4 linked regions of the Yarrowia lipolytica genome follow. The protein of the gene in region 3 interacts with the protein of the main gene of each other region in a biochemical or structural test. Links are inferred from orthologs where the notes say so. Each region holds a gene or a part of one and is shown on either strand. Other genes may lie near its edges. The genes, in order: YALI1_B23061g, YALI1_D02831g, YALI1_B21562g and YALI1_E19082g.

What was found.
Region 1: the proteins of YALI1_B21562g (region 3) and YALI1_B23061g form a complex in vitro, tested with the Saccharomyces cerevisiae proteins (2 studies listed by BioGRID). The link is inferred for Yarrowia lipolytica from reciprocal best matches to the Saccharomyces cerevisiae genes MCM6 and SLD5.
Region 2: the proteins of YALI1_B21562g (region 3) and YALI1_D02831g form a complex in vitro, tested with the Saccharomyces cerevisiae proteins (2 studies listed by BioGRID). The link is inferred for Yarrowia lipolytica from reciprocal best matches to the Saccharomyces cerevisiae genes MCM6 and PSF3.
Region 4: the proteins of YALI1_B21562g (region 3) and YALI1_E19082g form a complex in vitro, tested with the Saccharomyces cerevisiae proteins (2 studies listed by BioGRID). The link is inferred for Yarrowia lipolytica from reciprocal best matches to the Saccharomyces cerevisiae genes MCM6 and PSF2.

Annotation. Positions count from the first base shown.
Region 1 is NC_090771.1:2,304,317-2,307,446, reverse strand, and holds YALI1_B23061g (uncharacterized protein), read right to left. Parts: upstream 1,329-3,130; coding exon 546-1,328; downstream 1-545. Other genes in the region: YALI1_B23055g (uncharacterized protein), read left to right, coding at 1,944-3,130. UniProt on the Saccharomyces cerevisiae protein: Required for DNA replication. Functions as part of the GINS complex which plays an essential role in the initiation of DNA replication by binding to DNA replication origins and facilitating the assembly of the DNA replication machinery.
Region 2 is NC_090773.1:282,260-285,706, forward strand, and holds YALI1_D02831g (uncharacterized protein), read right to left. Parts: upstream 1,664-3,447; coding exon 1,619-1,663; intron 1,424-1,618; coding exon 1,355-1,423; intron 925-1,354; coding exon 511-924; downstream 1-510. Other genes in the region: YALI1_D02804g (uncharacterized protein), read left to right, coding at 1-40; YALI1_D02852g (uncharacterized protein), read left to right, coding at 3,021-3,447. UniProt on the Saccharomyces cerevisiae protein: Functions as part of the GINS complex which plays an essential role in the initiation of DNA replication by binding to DNA replication origins and facilitating the assembly of the DNA replication machinery.
Region 3 is NC_090771.1:2,154,652-2,159,586, forward strand, and holds YALI1_B21562g (uncharacterized protein), read left to right. Parts: upstream 1-1,617; coding exon 1,618-4,383; downstream 4,384-4,935. Other genes in the region: YALI1_B21538g (uncharacterized protein), read left to right, coding at 1-959; YALI1_B21594g (uncharacterized protein), read left to right, coding at 4,779-4,839. UniProt on the Saccharomyces cerevisiae protein: Acts as a component of the MCM2-7 complex (MCM complex) which is the putative replicative helicase essential for 'once per cell cycle' DNA replication initiation and elongation in eukaryotic cells.
Region 4 is NC_090774.1:1,906,331-1,909,487, reverse strand, and holds YALI1_E19082g (uncharacterized protein), read right to left. Parts: upstream 1,280-3,157; coding exon 512-1,279; downstream 1-511. Other genes in the region: YALI1_E19098g (uncharacterized protein), read left to right, coding at 1-190; YALI1_E19070g (uncharacterized protein), read right to left, coding at 2,200-2,452, 2,505-2,512. UniProt on the Saccharomyces cerevisiae protein: Functions as part of the GINS complex which plays an essential role in the initiation of DNA replication by binding to DNA replication origins and facilitating the assembly of the DNA replication machinery.

The sequences.
Region 1 (3,130 bases), about 150 kb from region 3:
GGTTACAGCACTTCGTAAAATAAACGAAATAATGACCTTTGGTTTGATAGTCTTGTCTTTATAGGTGAGATTCTGTGATGCATGGTATTTTACTTGGGTTAAGTGGTAACTAAGGCGCAATTTGCCCAAGACCAAGTCCAATGCGACCAATACCGTTACCTGGAAGCACTAAGGGTTAATGATGATATGCATTTTACAATTAGATGTCTCTATTTATGGTAAGCATCTGTATGTACAGCTTCCAGGTCGCCCGCGCAGGGTCTCCATGGTGAGTTAGATACATGCTAAACGTCTCGACCACGTTGAAGTGTCTTGCTTTTTAAGGCTTCGTCGAGTAACTGATGATACAGACAAGGCAAGTGGGCGATTGTCATATTTTAGCTGCTTGAGCTCTTGACACACAATCGTCGGTATGTACGGGTGTCAATAACGTAGCATGCGAGCGTCAACTTCACAAAATAACTAACAGCCCACAGCTTGCGTGTCTCAGCATTAGTTCCATGAACTCCCCCGTCGAGTTGTTTCACCTCATTTTCCTTCTCTCATCAAATGAAAACAACATCACCACTCTCAACATACTTCACGATGATGGAGTACTTGATGACGACGATACTACCCTTTCGCAGCTTGACTGAATCGTTTCCAATGATAATCTTTCGTCCTGTATCCTTGACTACTCGCACAAACACTGGATGGTCCATGTTGGGCTCCTGAACCATGCTTGCACTTCCTGAAGAGTCGTTCATCTGTTTGAGACTGTCTGGGAACGTGTTCATAAACTGATGCGCGTACAGATTCTTCAACAGCGCATAGTGCCGGTTGAGATACATTCTCTCTGTTTGAGACATGTTCATTCTGTCCAAGGGGGAAGACTGGTAGTACTCCATGCTGTTATCGATCTTAAGCAGTCGCACGCGCAGATACGACCGGATCAGGTACTTGATACGCTCCAGCTCCGTCTCCACAATCAGCAGTTCCAGCTTCACGTCTGTGTCCGGACTCATGTCTATCGACTTCTCCTCAATCACCTCGATCTGAAGCTGCACACGTTTGAGAATCCGGAACAACAGCGCCTCCTTCGTCGGAAGAAGCGTTGGTGACATTCGCTCAGTCACCCATGAATGTGTCAACTCTTTGATATCAGCCTCCTTCTCTTCCAAAGTACCTAGTGGGTCGTGTGGTCGCACGTTGTTGATCAGATCATCAATATCGTCCGTTTCATCCATGCTCAGACCCGCTGGATCAGATGTGTGCGGCGGTGAGTGGAACGACGAGTCGAGCCCGCTGTGAATGTCCATGCCTTCCAAGTCCAAGTTGTCCTCCTCCATTTTTGATATCGTTGTGTTGTGTGCGTGACGAATTTTTGATGTGCTCTAATTAAGTTGACGCGTCGTGCAGGTCCTGATGTGCGTGTCTAAGCAGGAATCGCTGTGGAAGTACCCAGTAGCCGGTAGCTACCTGGTACATCAATCGTAGCTATATATATGTACCTTGGTTTCGTGTAAAGCTCAAGAAATTGCTAAAAATTATATTACTAAGGTCTCAAACGCCCAAGGTGATGGTTACACTAAGGTTCTCACACGGCGGCTAAATGGCGGGTATTTTTACAACATCTAAACTAAGGTAGCTCTGCTACGCTGTTATTCTGGATCTCCCCAAAAAGATTTTTCCGAAATACTTCTCGTTGATGATGTGACGTGAACGCTGTTTCGTTTCTTCAGTTGTAATTTATATTCCCAATTCTCCTACGTAGCCTCACAAACCCGTGCCACCCCAACGTCTATTTTGTTAAGACATCCTCACTAGATATTCTAAATCCACTTGACTGTTGCAGTGCATCACAACTGCACCCTTTATTCACTGCACACCGCTACACGAACACGAACACGAACAGCTAACATCACACACACTAGTGCTTGCAAACGCTCACAAATAGCCTGGAAATGAGCTCGAGCAGACGCAGCGAGATCGAGGCCAAAAGGGCCAGAATCGCAGAGATGCGAAAGGCCAGAGAAGCTCTTCAACAGCAGGAGGTGAGTCTCAACAAACACACAAACACAGCCAGGGGGAACCTACTAACACAGGCACAAAGAGCAGCACCCTCTAAAGAGGATATCGACCAGCTGGTAGACTCATTGGTGACTACTCGAATTGACGACACCCCAGGATCTTTTTCCATAGTCATTGCTGATGCCTTTGATCAAGTTCCTGTGGTTCAGGGTCCTGATACATCAGCCACTTCCAACACAGCATCAGCGTCAGCTTCAACTTCTACAGCCGCTGCGATTACAACTCGGACAACATCACCGCCACTCTGCTACTCAAAGGGGGTCCAGACCGACCCCATTGATGACGATATTGATCTCGACAGCGACGAAACAGCAGCAGACGCGTCCAGACCAGACTCTGGGACACAGGATGAGGAGCCCAGCATTTCTAGTTACCCGGCCCAGGTTTCAATTCCGCCTCCAGATGACAACGTTAGTATTGTGTTCGCAGAGCCTTCTGCTGCGGCTTCCGAAGACCTGCTTCCGTTTGTGCAACAATCGCTCAAGGTGGTGGAACGGTCGCTCAAACCTCAAAAATTTGATGTTCTCACAGATTATGGTTCTCAGGGACTCACTACAACCCATGATGAAGAGGCGCTCGTGTCGCAGTCTCTCCAGTTTTCCCATTCAGACACAGACGGACGAGCCGTGCTTGATCTTGCTTGGTCGCACTCCTTCCCCGAGCTGCTGGTGGCATCGTACACGGAGAAACGCGACTCCATTGCGGAGGCTAAAGGCTGTGTGAAGGTTTGGAATATGCACATGCCTGCTAAGCCCGAGTACACGTTTGTGGCAGACTCGGACGTGACTTCGGTGCTGTGCTCTCCCTTCCACCCCACACTTGTGTTTGGAGGCCTCTATAACGGCCAGATCATGGTGTGGGACATGAGGGCGTCCAGTTCACAGGCTATTTTGGCCTCTCCACTTTCCGGAAGTGCCCATTCACACCCTGTGTTGGCATTGGACCTCTACGGTACCCAAAATGCATCTTCGTTGGTGTCTGCTTCGACCGATGGAACCATCTGCACGTGGTCCCCCGACATTCTCGCCAAACCACAGGAGAAGATTTTGCTACAGCCGTC
Region 2 (3,447 bases), on a different chromosome or scaffold from region 3:
GGGGTTGGGGGATGGAATTGCGGTTGGTGTTAGATGGTGAGCAAGCTGTACATAATTGTACAGTACATGCTGCACCAAAATATTTATTACTGTACTTTGTCGTTGTGCTAAACTCAGCGAGCGACTATCTACAGATAGTTGGATGCTTTAGTATAAGATTCAATATTAATTGAACCTTTTCTCAAAAATTAAGTATATCTAACAAAATGCCAAGTAAATCCGAGATCACACAATGGCCATATTGGAAGTCCCTGCGAAATAGTACGGACAGTGCTACAGTACAGTAGTCAACTAAAAAGCGCCTCTTTATACTCTACTGTAAGCCTGTATTCACCATGAGTCAGCTACAGTGTCCCCTTCAGATTTCTCCTGCTGGACGTCCCTTCCATATATATATGTAGTATCGCAGGTAGCTAGAAGCGCGACACCGAGAGCTCTTTAGCTTTATATCCATTCCATCAATTCATTAGTATGCAGTATAATTCCAGTCAAGAAACACATTTCGTTCGATTAATACTTAATCGTCGCCATGTACTCCTTATACGCCCGTCTCGAGGCACACCCCTTTTTGTACAACATCTTCTCAAATTCATCGTACTTGTGTACAAACTCTCCTCGTCGGCCAACATTGTCATAAATATCCGATATCCGCTCGGCCATGGCTGTGGCGATAATAGTCTCCAGTTCCTCGTCTTCAAAGAGCTCTAGGTAGTAGATGGCCAGGGCAAAGAAGAGAGGAGACTGGTATCGAAGATCGACGCCAGGAGCATCCGTTTTGAGAGCGTTCAAGACACTGGGCTTGAGAGCGTGCGGGATCTTGACGGTCACAAAACACTCTTGGTTGCCGGAATACGGGTCGTATTCAGACTGTGAGAGCACGTCTGCGATCCAAATGGGGAGATCAATGATTGTACCTTCGTTCATCTTGGTTAGCTGAGAGAAACGAAAACCGGGAGTCCGTGGACCGGTGCGCGTAAGCGAACAAGAGTGTCGCCAAATAATAGAATGCCACTGACAACACGTAGAGGGCTCCAAAGGCTGGACATGAGTTCATCAGGAAGCAAGTCTGGCCGACAATATGTTCATTTAGCTCTCAAGAGCAGATCAGAACATCAGAAGTTAACAAACAAAGGTCAAGCCCATGATTTAGAAGTTCATTGACCTCGACGATATCAAGCTGTGTGTAGGCAGTCTCAACTTATAATCGCAAGAGCACATCAAACGTATGCAGAACCAGACAGGACCAGGGAGGGCACCGCAGCTAATTCATCATATAGACCAGCTATATCATAGCGGACTTGGCCTAGGGACCACCTCCGTATCCAACCCGACCTCTCCATAACCTCATACTCACGTCTTTCCGTCCTCGTCCTTCCAAGAAGCCCAAGTTCGGGACTCCAACTTCAAATCGGCAAGGGATTTTCTGTGTTAGCAATGGGTGTGAGCAAATGGGGACAGAAGAGAGCTCGTCTAGACGAGATCCATTCTACTCGTACTAGAATCTGACTCGTACTCAAGCTGAGCCTCAGTCACAATCTTAGCGTGCAAGTTCCATCCAGGTAATGGACTCCCTGATAAATGCACTATTCGCTGCAGTCATGCCATCCCGTGTACTCACCTGACCCTCCATCAGAATCTCGTCCAGATCGTAATATCCACCCATGTTGTATTGTGTGTGAGTGTGTTAGCACAGTATAACATCCTGATGCACCTTAATTATAATTTCGCGTTTGGCGTTGTGCGTTTGAGATGTACAGTATGTACTGTAGCTTCTATGGGAGACCGAGACGCCACACCGCTGATGTAAACGAGTATCTCAGTTGATAAGCTGAAGTATATAACGCATCGACATCAATATATCGTCTCAGCTCGATGTCTCAACGTGTGTTCGTTCTCTACTTCTCAATCGTTGGTCAGCGACAGTCTTGAGCACGACCTGGCAGCTCTCCGGTTAGTGCTGCTCTGCTCAACTGAAGAGATCAACGCGTCACCCATTCCGATTCCACCAAGAATCAGAACGCGAGTAAGTGCTGGTTACACACTGTCTCGTTACAACTTCCAGCAGATTGTGTCCAAAACCAAATCAGACTGGCGCTTCTCCATCATGGGTATTTTTGATGGGGAGTCAGCATGGCGACACTGCATTGTCACCAGAATTCACTGCCAAACAAGTATAAAATCGTATACAAGCACGAGCATGATTTTGTTTACCAGTATCCATTCAATCAAATTGTTTACTAGTTCAAAACTAGCGTCGGTTTTCTCCCCATTCATCCCGTATCCGTACTGTACGTACTGTATGTAGCTACTATAAGCGATGACAGCACTACTGGCCGATGTCTACCAGTAGCACGTTTCGGTGGCTGTGTGTATTTGTCAGCGGTTGTGTCTGTATATTATTAGTTTAGTCACGTGCCACTGGGCTTGGGGTGGTTTGTAGAATTGAGAGGCTGTTGGAAACTCTGTGATTCGTGTTGATTAATTCGAGTATTTTAATTAATAATTAAGCGAATAGAATGAAGAAAAAAAAAAGAGGAAAATGAAATTTTCAATTAGTCAGAAAAATTCAGGAAAAATTCAGGGAAATTAAGATGATCCAAGAAAACCCAGAAAGAAGTCGGGGAAATCGATAAATTTCAAAACTCGGCTGAAAATCCCAGCAGAACCCAGCCAGTCGTTGTCTACTTGTAGGCGAGACGAGACCTCTGGTCTCTGACAACAGCCTTAGTCACCCTTCTGTCATCTTTCCTTCATGCACAATAATCCCGATAAGGTTGTTGCACGTAGATATAGACAGCCATGTTTGGGCATATTGGAGTACTCATGCCGTTAATTGAACCAGATAAATCCATTTTAAATCTTTCTTATGTCCACCAGTCGAATTTTCTCGATATCAATCCGCCCACAGCATCTTGTACCCTATTCGCAAATTATTCCATTGTCAATAAAGTTCAATCATACATACACCTCCTCTGTACATCACCACCTCCACACACCCAGTAGCCTCTCACGTCACTATCATGGCCTCCACTACGCCCCAATCAACCAGCTCAGCGTCCAGTTCCCGCGTGGGTGGCACCATGATCAACCCCAAGGGTAATTTCGACCCCACCATCCCCGCCATTCTACCCCATGAGCAAATGTACGCGATTCAGGTTGGAGATCAGCGATTCACTTTGTCTGGAGCGTCTCTATCAAGCGATGGCCCGTCGTACTTTACCGAGTTTTTCCTGAAACACAAAGACAACCCGCCGGTGCTTTTTCTCGACCGGTCTCCGGACATTTTCAAGCTCATTGTGCGCCACTTGCAGGGCTACTACATCATGTCTTCCGACGAAGCCACGTCGGTATACCTGCTGATTGATGCACGATACTACCAGCTGCCGCGACTGACTCAGCAACTGCTATCTTCGGAGCTCATGATTCGCATCGGAAACGAGAGCATCA
Region 3 (4,935 bases):
GTGCCGTCTTCGTGTCTGCTGCCTTTGCTTTCAACGGAACTGAGCTGGCTGGCCTGGCTGCTGCCGAGACCGCCAATCCCCGAAAGTCCATCCCCACTGCTACCAAGCAAGTCTTCTGGCGAATTACCCTCTTCTATATTGTGTCTTTGACTCTGGTCGGCTTCCTTGTTCCCTGGGACCACCCCCAGCTGCTCAACAAGAGCTCTTCTGCTGACGCTTCCGCCTCTCCGTTCGTCATTGCCATCAAGGCTGCCGGCATCAAGGGCCTTCCATCTGTCATGAACGTCGTCATTATGATTTCCGTTCTGTCCGTCGGCAACTCCTCTATCTTTGGTTTCTCTCGAACTATCGCTGCTCTCGCCCAGCAAGGTCAGGCTCCTTCCTTCTTCGCTTACATTGATCGAAAGGGACGACCTCTGTTTGGCATCATCACAGTCTCGCTCTTTGGACTGTTTGCATTCATCTGTGCCGGTCCTATCGAAACCCAGAACACCGTCTTCTACTGGCTCATGGCCATCTGTGGCCTCTCCTCCATCTTCACATGGGGCTCCATCAACCTGTGCCACTTCCGATTCCGAATGGCCATGAAGGTCCAGGGTCGATCTCTCCGAGAAATGCCTTTCTTGTCTCACGTCGGAACTATCGGATCCATGTACGGCTTCCTGCTCAACGTAACCGTGCTTGGATTGCAGTTCTGGATCGCTCTCTTCCCCGTGGGAGGTGCCAAGCCTAAGGCTGACGTCTTCTTCCAGGCCTACCTGGCTGTACCTGTTGTCCTGGCCTTCTATATCTTTTTCAAGCTGTGGAAACGGCCCAGCTTCGTGGCTCTAAAGGACATGGACCTCGACACTGGACGACGAGAAACTGACTTCGAGCTGCTCATGCATGAGATGGACGAAGAGGCTGCCTACATTGCCTCCAAGCCCTTCTACTACCGAGTTTACAAGTTCTGGTGCTAACCGCTGCATTTAGTGTTATATATATATATTGTTTGTTATTAATTGAAGAGTACAAGGACAAGTGCACATTTCATTCAACTTATCGCTACTGTACATACGAGGAGCGATGGGAGCACTACTTCGGGGTCTGCATCGTACGATACAGTATATATATATACTCATACGAATTGTACAATTACATCACAAGTACAAGTACCCGTACAATTACAGCACAAGTAATAAATATACATGCAAGTATTACTTGTACTGTTTACTCATACTCATACTCATACTGTACATACGTACATACTGTACTTGTACTTCAGACATTTGACACACGCTCTGTCCAACACCCACCACATTGATGACAGTGCACCTCGGCGAGTACTATGTGCTGTGCGCCATGTTTGCCTATAATGTAGAAATAACCTGTTTTTGTCAACCCAAATAACGAGATAAATCCACAAAGCCGCGTTTGTATGTCGGTTTATTGCTTACCCCCTCCGCCAACACGTTGCTAGGGGCTCCAGTTAAGGTTTGAACGCGACGCGTTCTCCTTGCCAAAATAGGACTAAATTAAGCCGGGTAACTAGACGACGTGTTTTCTGCATGGGACAAGAATATATCCCAATCCTCCTGAACACAACACATCGTACCGAAAACCACACACGAACACACCATGGACCTCGTCGACCAATTAATGACCGAGGGGATGGAGGGTCCCTCTTCCCCCGGCCCTCCTTCCTCGCCCGGAGCCAATTTGCCCTCTTCTTTCGCAGGACGAACACCTGGAACCACATCTGCTCATGGAGGCCCTAGCTCTGACCAATACAGAGAACCAGCTGCCATGGATGTACCTCCGGACGAGGAGGTGCGAATGCGGCGAATTATGGAGCAAGAAACAGTTCCCAAGGTTCAGGACGCCACTGGAGAGAAGGTGCGTGATCTATTTGAAGAGTTTCTGGAGACTTACGTTGATGGATCAAATCCGGAAGAGTACTCTGATGACGAGGATGGAACTGCGTATGACGGGCGACCTTACGTACGACAAATCAAGGGTCTTCGAAGTTTCAACAAGTCGTCAATTTTCGTGGACTACAGACACATGAGCGAGACTGAAGATGGTATTCTGGCCCAAGCCATCAGTGACCAATACTACCGATTCATGCCATTTTTGCTGCGAGGTCTGACCAATGTGATTCGAAAGATTGAGCCCGTGCTTCTGCAACAGTCTGTAGGCTTTTCTGAGGATGGAAGTTCGACGTTTGGAGGATCCAAGTCGTCGTCTGCCTCAGATCAGCCCCGACACTTTCAGATCTGTTTCCACAACCTTCCTGTCGTGTGCAGAATTCGGGAACTCAAGACCGACAAGATTGGTTGTCTTATTTCTCTAGGGGGTACTGTCACTCGAACGTCCGAAGTGCGTCCAGAACTGTACTTGGGAGCCTTCCAGTGCCAGGAATGTCATACTGAAGTGGACGGAGTGGAGCAGGTGTTCAAGTACACAGAGCCTTCGATCTGTCCCAACCCCATGTGCGGAAACAAAAAGATGTGGAAGCTGCTGATGGACAACTCTGTGTTCTTGGATTGGCAGAAGGTGCGTGTGCAGGAAAACGCACATGAGATCCCCGCTGGATCTATGCCCAGAACCATCGACGTCATTCTTAGAGGTGAAAATGTGGAGCGAGCTCGAGCAGGAGATCAGATGATTTTTACTGGAGCACCTGTTGTCATTCCTGACGTCACTCAGCTTGGCCTGCCTGGTGTGAAGCCTCGAGCAGTTCGAGATGGAGGCCGAGAAACTTCTGCTGTGGAGTCTGGAGCCGTCACAGGACTCAGAGAGCTTGGAGCACGTGATCTGACCTACAGGATATCTTTCCTAGCTTGTTACGCTGCTCCTGCCAACATTCTGGACGCCTCTGCCAACGACAACTACGCCGAGAACGCTGCTGACGAACAAGAGGAGTACATTCGAAGTCTGAAGTCTGCCGAAGTGGAGCAGCTTCGTGATATGGTCCACGGACAGGATATTTTCCGACGTCTGGTACGATCCATTGCTCCTGCTGTGTACGGTCATGAGACTGTCAAGAAGGGTATTCTACTGCAGCTCATGGGAGGAGTGCACAAGAAGACAGCTGATGGAATTCGACTACGAGGAGATATTAACATTTGTCTGGTTGGAGATCCCTCCACTGCGAAGTCCCAGTTCCTTAAGTACGTCACCTCGTTCCTTCCTCGATCTGTGTATGCTTCCGGTAAGGCATCCACTGCTGCAGGTCTTACAGCAGCTGTGGTTAAGGATGAAGACTCTGGAGAGTTCACCATCGAAGCTGGAGCTTTGATGCTTGCTGATAATGGTATCTGTGCTATTGATGAGTTCGACAAGATGGATTTGGCAGACCAGGTGGCAATTCACGAGGCTATGGAACAACAAACTATCTCCATTGCCAAGGCCGGTATTAACGCTACTCTGAACGCCCGAACTTCCATCCTGGCCGCTGCAAACCCTGCCAAGGGTCGGTATGACCGCAGACTCGGTCTGCGAGCCAACGTGCAGATGTCCGCTCCTATCATGTCTCGTTTCGATCTGTTTTTCGTCATTCTTGACGAGTGTAATGAGGCTACGGATACCGCTCTGGCCAGCCATGTCGTTGACCTGCACATGCATACTGATGAGGCCATCGACCCTCCCTTCTCCACTGAGCAGCTGCAGCGATTTATCAAGTACGCCCGTACCTTCAAGCCCATGCTGACCCCCGAAGCCCGAGCAGTTCTTGTACAGCAGTACCAGCAACTCCGAGCCGACGACGCCACCGGAGCTGGAAACAGTTACCGAATCACCGTTCGTCAGTTGGAGTCCATGATCCGTCTCTCTGAGGCCATTGCTCGAGCCAACTGTTCGACCATCATTTCCCCTGCCTTTGTTCATGAGGCTGCCAAACTGCTCAGAGACACCATCATTCTCGTTGAGCGGGAAGATGTGCTTCTGGACGAGGAGGAGGACACCGTAGACGCTGCCGAGGACGCCGTTGACGAGGCCATGGAAGCCACCCAGCTAGCCAACCACACACCCCGGGACCAGATCACTCACCAGCAATACACACACATGGTCAACATGATTGTGTCCAAGCTATCGGAGAACTACACCGACGATGCCGATGCCAGTAGAATCGGAATGTCGCTGGATGCACTACTGGAGTTCGTGCTGGAGCAATACGAGGAAGATATGGTTGATGAGGAGGATGTGGAGAACCACACTCGGCTGACCAAGAAGGTCATCAAGAAAATGAAGAAGAACAACCTTCTCATGACCGTGCGAGGTAATTTAGACGACCTGGAGGCCCCAGGAGATGGAACTGAGCTGTATGTGATCCATCCTAACGCTGCGGCCGCTGAGTTGGAGGAGACTAGACAGACAGGAGGTGTCATGCCTGATGACGAGTAGGGATAAATGAGCTTTCAGGATAGCTCTCCAGTAATACACACTCAGTTCATACCACACGACTTTAGAGAGTAAGTAACTAATTAATGTATTTTTATTTTTATTGTTTTCCAAGAGATTATTAATTTTATGATCTCCTTGTATTTATAGCAAGATGTGCAAGGTGAAAGCTGATGAAGAATGTTTGTAAATACAGTAAGCCGCCTCTAGGGTAAAATAGAGATGCCTATTAATACACGTACGAGTACGGTAAGTTATATTTCTAGCTTATATAATCACGGGATCTTATACATATTCAACCATATACAAGTGCCATGTATGCGGGGGTGATACGATTTAAGCCTCATTTTTAGAGCCCATGATTCTGCGCAACAGTAGCTAGCCCATGATATAAGACCATGAAGTTAAGGCCATACTTGACGTGTGAAACAGGCCTGATATGTTTTGAAGACGGCTCCAGTAAGTCGCTCCAGTACAACCAATGACACAGGAAGGAGGTTCATGTGCACCACCCAGAAACTCTCCAAACAAATACATTTAGGCTTCGCGTCAGAC
Region 4 (3,157 bases), on a different chromosome or scaffold from region 3:
CGAGATCAGCTCCATGAGTGTGACTCTCAATGGCTCCGCACGAGTGGTGGAGGACCTGGCCGAGGCCCAAAAGTACCTTGCTAAACACGAGAAGGCCAACCCCGACGCCAAGCAGTTCATTGAGAACCAGGAGATTGCCCTTCTGCTCGTCACCTTCAAGGAGGTCAAGGTTACCGAAGTTGATGTTTAGTTGTGCCACAAGAGCAAGAGCGACAAGAACAACCAGCAACCACCACCAAGTAACGCCAATTCCATTTCTTCTGATGATATTGTGGGTGCTGGTAGATTCAATGCATGCTAAGTCATTGCAGTCTCCAAACCTACAAGGTTCCGTAAATTCTTGTACGATACAGTACATACTCGTACCCTGTACTTGTAACAACATGTACAGTACGTAGCTTATCATTAGTCGTGGCTTGCCCCTCAATACTTCAATTTGGTCGGTTTCGATTACAATAAATATATTCATTAGTGTACATGTTGGAAGATGTGTTCTTGTATCTGAGAAACATCACCATTCGGGGCCGCCTTGTTGCGGCACATTATCATCCCACTGAGACAACTCTCGTCTTCTTTCCGAAGTGTCCACTCGGTCTCCATATCGCAACGAAGAGTCCAGTTGAGATGAAGGCACAGCCAACGAAGACTCGTCGTCATGTCCATAAGTAGGCTCATCATCCTCGTCGTCCTCGGGGTTGTCACTTTCCGAATAGATTATGGGCTCCTCCTTCTTGCCGGCCTTGCGGATCTTGATCATTTCCTCCATGCCTTCTACCACAAACGGTCTCATTTCGTTGATCTCCAGAGCCCCCAGTCGGTCCATCTGCAGCATGTTTTCGTTGACCTCCTTCATACCCTGTCGACTTTTTTGCTCCCGCACCTCTCGGATATCTCGCACGAGGTTTCGGATCACCTGTGGCGGCGAGGTGAGGTCGTCTGGAGCGGTGGTGAGCACAATCTGGGCGATTTCCAGCCAGTGGAAATCCACGTTGGAGAACGCGGTGGGGTTGGCATGCTCAAAAGCCAAGATCCGCCGCAAATTGCTTTCCTCCATCCAGTCCGGGGGCACGAACTGACACCGCTGCTGTTTCTTGAGCGCGATGGCCATCCAGATGGGGACTCTGTTCTTTCGAAGAGGATGCATGAGAGGCAGATCTGTGCCTGCCAGCTTGATGGGGTTGCCGACTCGTCGCGGCAGGATCTCGATGGTCTCATTCTCCGCCATGAAATGCAGCTCCGACGGCAGGAAGGTCTCCAGCTGTTCCGCTGGCACCGACATTTTTTCTTCTTCTTGCTGGTTGGTGTGCGACGATGGCTAATCTAATCACTTCACGCGTTTCCGTTGAAATTATCCTGCATATATGATGCATGATGAAAGATTGTGGGTTCGATTACGAGGCGTATAATATTACCGAGAGAATTAAATTGGAGATACGACCACGAATACTCGGCGTGTCATGGGATAGTGACGGTTTTTGGTGGCAAATGGTCATGCAAGTTTTGATGTTTTTATGAAGAGATAGCTTCTGGTAGCTCTATTCCAAATGTCTATGAAGTCACAACCCGTATTCTTGGAGACCCCTTGGGGGCAAATGTCGAGAATACGACCGTTCTGAAGGCGCCCTTGCTTCGGTATTTAGGACCTCAAACACCAGCGTTCCCCAGACTCGTGTCAGGTCCATTCACTTATGCTCAGGTACTCATAGCAGTTCTCCTGGTCTGAAAGGATGCCGATCATCGGCTCTACAGTACCTCTTCCATCTCGGGGTGGTGCGCACAAGACGGCATGTCATAGATATTCTTTTACCGCGTCACGAGCATGTGTTTCGATCTGATCATGAACATTTTCATCAACGGCATGGACTTGATGGTCGTCGGTAAGGGAATCCCGTGGAAAGCTATTACAAATACTCGTGTCTGGCAGGGGTCGAATCGTCATCTGAACCACCAAGTGAACGATAACAATTGTCTGTAGTCCTCTGACACCGTCTGTAATCCTCTGACACCCCACCTCCGATTTGATGCCTTCACATGCTGGCCGACGAAGATAGAGTGTGAGACATTTAGTGAGAGCAAAGCAAGTACTTGTAGCGATAGAGCTCTCGGATGTCTGCGCACCAGCCGGATGTCTGCGCACCAGCCGGATGTCTGCGCACCAGCCGGGATGGTTTGAGTCATGAGTCATTAGTCATTAGATTGCTAGTTTCCGGGAGAACCACAGTCGGTCTTGCGCCAAACTCCAAACTCCGATCGCGACCAAGTCTTGGATTTGGTCATCGGAGTTGGAGGTCGAGTTGGAGGTCGAGTTGGAGGTCGAGTTGGAGATCGATTTAGGACTGGACTTGAGTCGGAGTTAAGTTGGCAAGGGTTCGGAGTCTGAGGTTCGGAGTCTGAGGTTCGGAGCTCTGAGGTTCGGGAAAGTACTCGAACTTGTCGATCTGTTGACGTAATCCTCCCAACTCATACCACTGTTTCATACTGTCGTGACGTCATTTGCGACGTACAGTACCATTGGAGGAGTAGTTGTACTGTAGTGGTAGTGGTAGTGGTAGTGGTAGACGTACCCGTGGTCGTACTTTACAGTACCGCCGAACTTGTAGGTCCTGTAATTAGATGAGGGTCAGAAGGGGAAGTCAATGTTCAACTTGAATGTACTTTCTCCACGCGTACCGCTTTCGCTGCCGAACGGTACTCGTACAGCATCTACGCATCCTGTATAGCAACATATCAACAAACAGCATCGACGGAGTATTCGGAAAGAGACACTAAAATGAGAGACATGAATGTGGCAACTGTGGTTGACGAGGGCTGTGGAAGAGGAAGACAAGGGTGGTGCAACGTACAAACATTTGCCAGTAGGTGCCGATAGGATCTCTTGAAGTGGTCCATCTGGAGCACAGTGGAGCCATTTCCCCCCGTCCTACCGACACCACCTCTCACACCACTGATAATCGTCATGACGTAACTGTTTTCAGGTGTTCTTTTTTTGTTTTGTTTTTTGTTTTTTTTGCTTGGCAACTTTCATGTGTCTCAGTGCAGGGTGGGATGCCTTTAATTTCAGGGGCATGTGCTAGCAACTTGCGGTGGGGGTAATTGGGGCAAAAGTGCGTCTGAGAGTTGCGAAGCGGGCCAGAGAAAGATATTCGGGGCGTCTCAA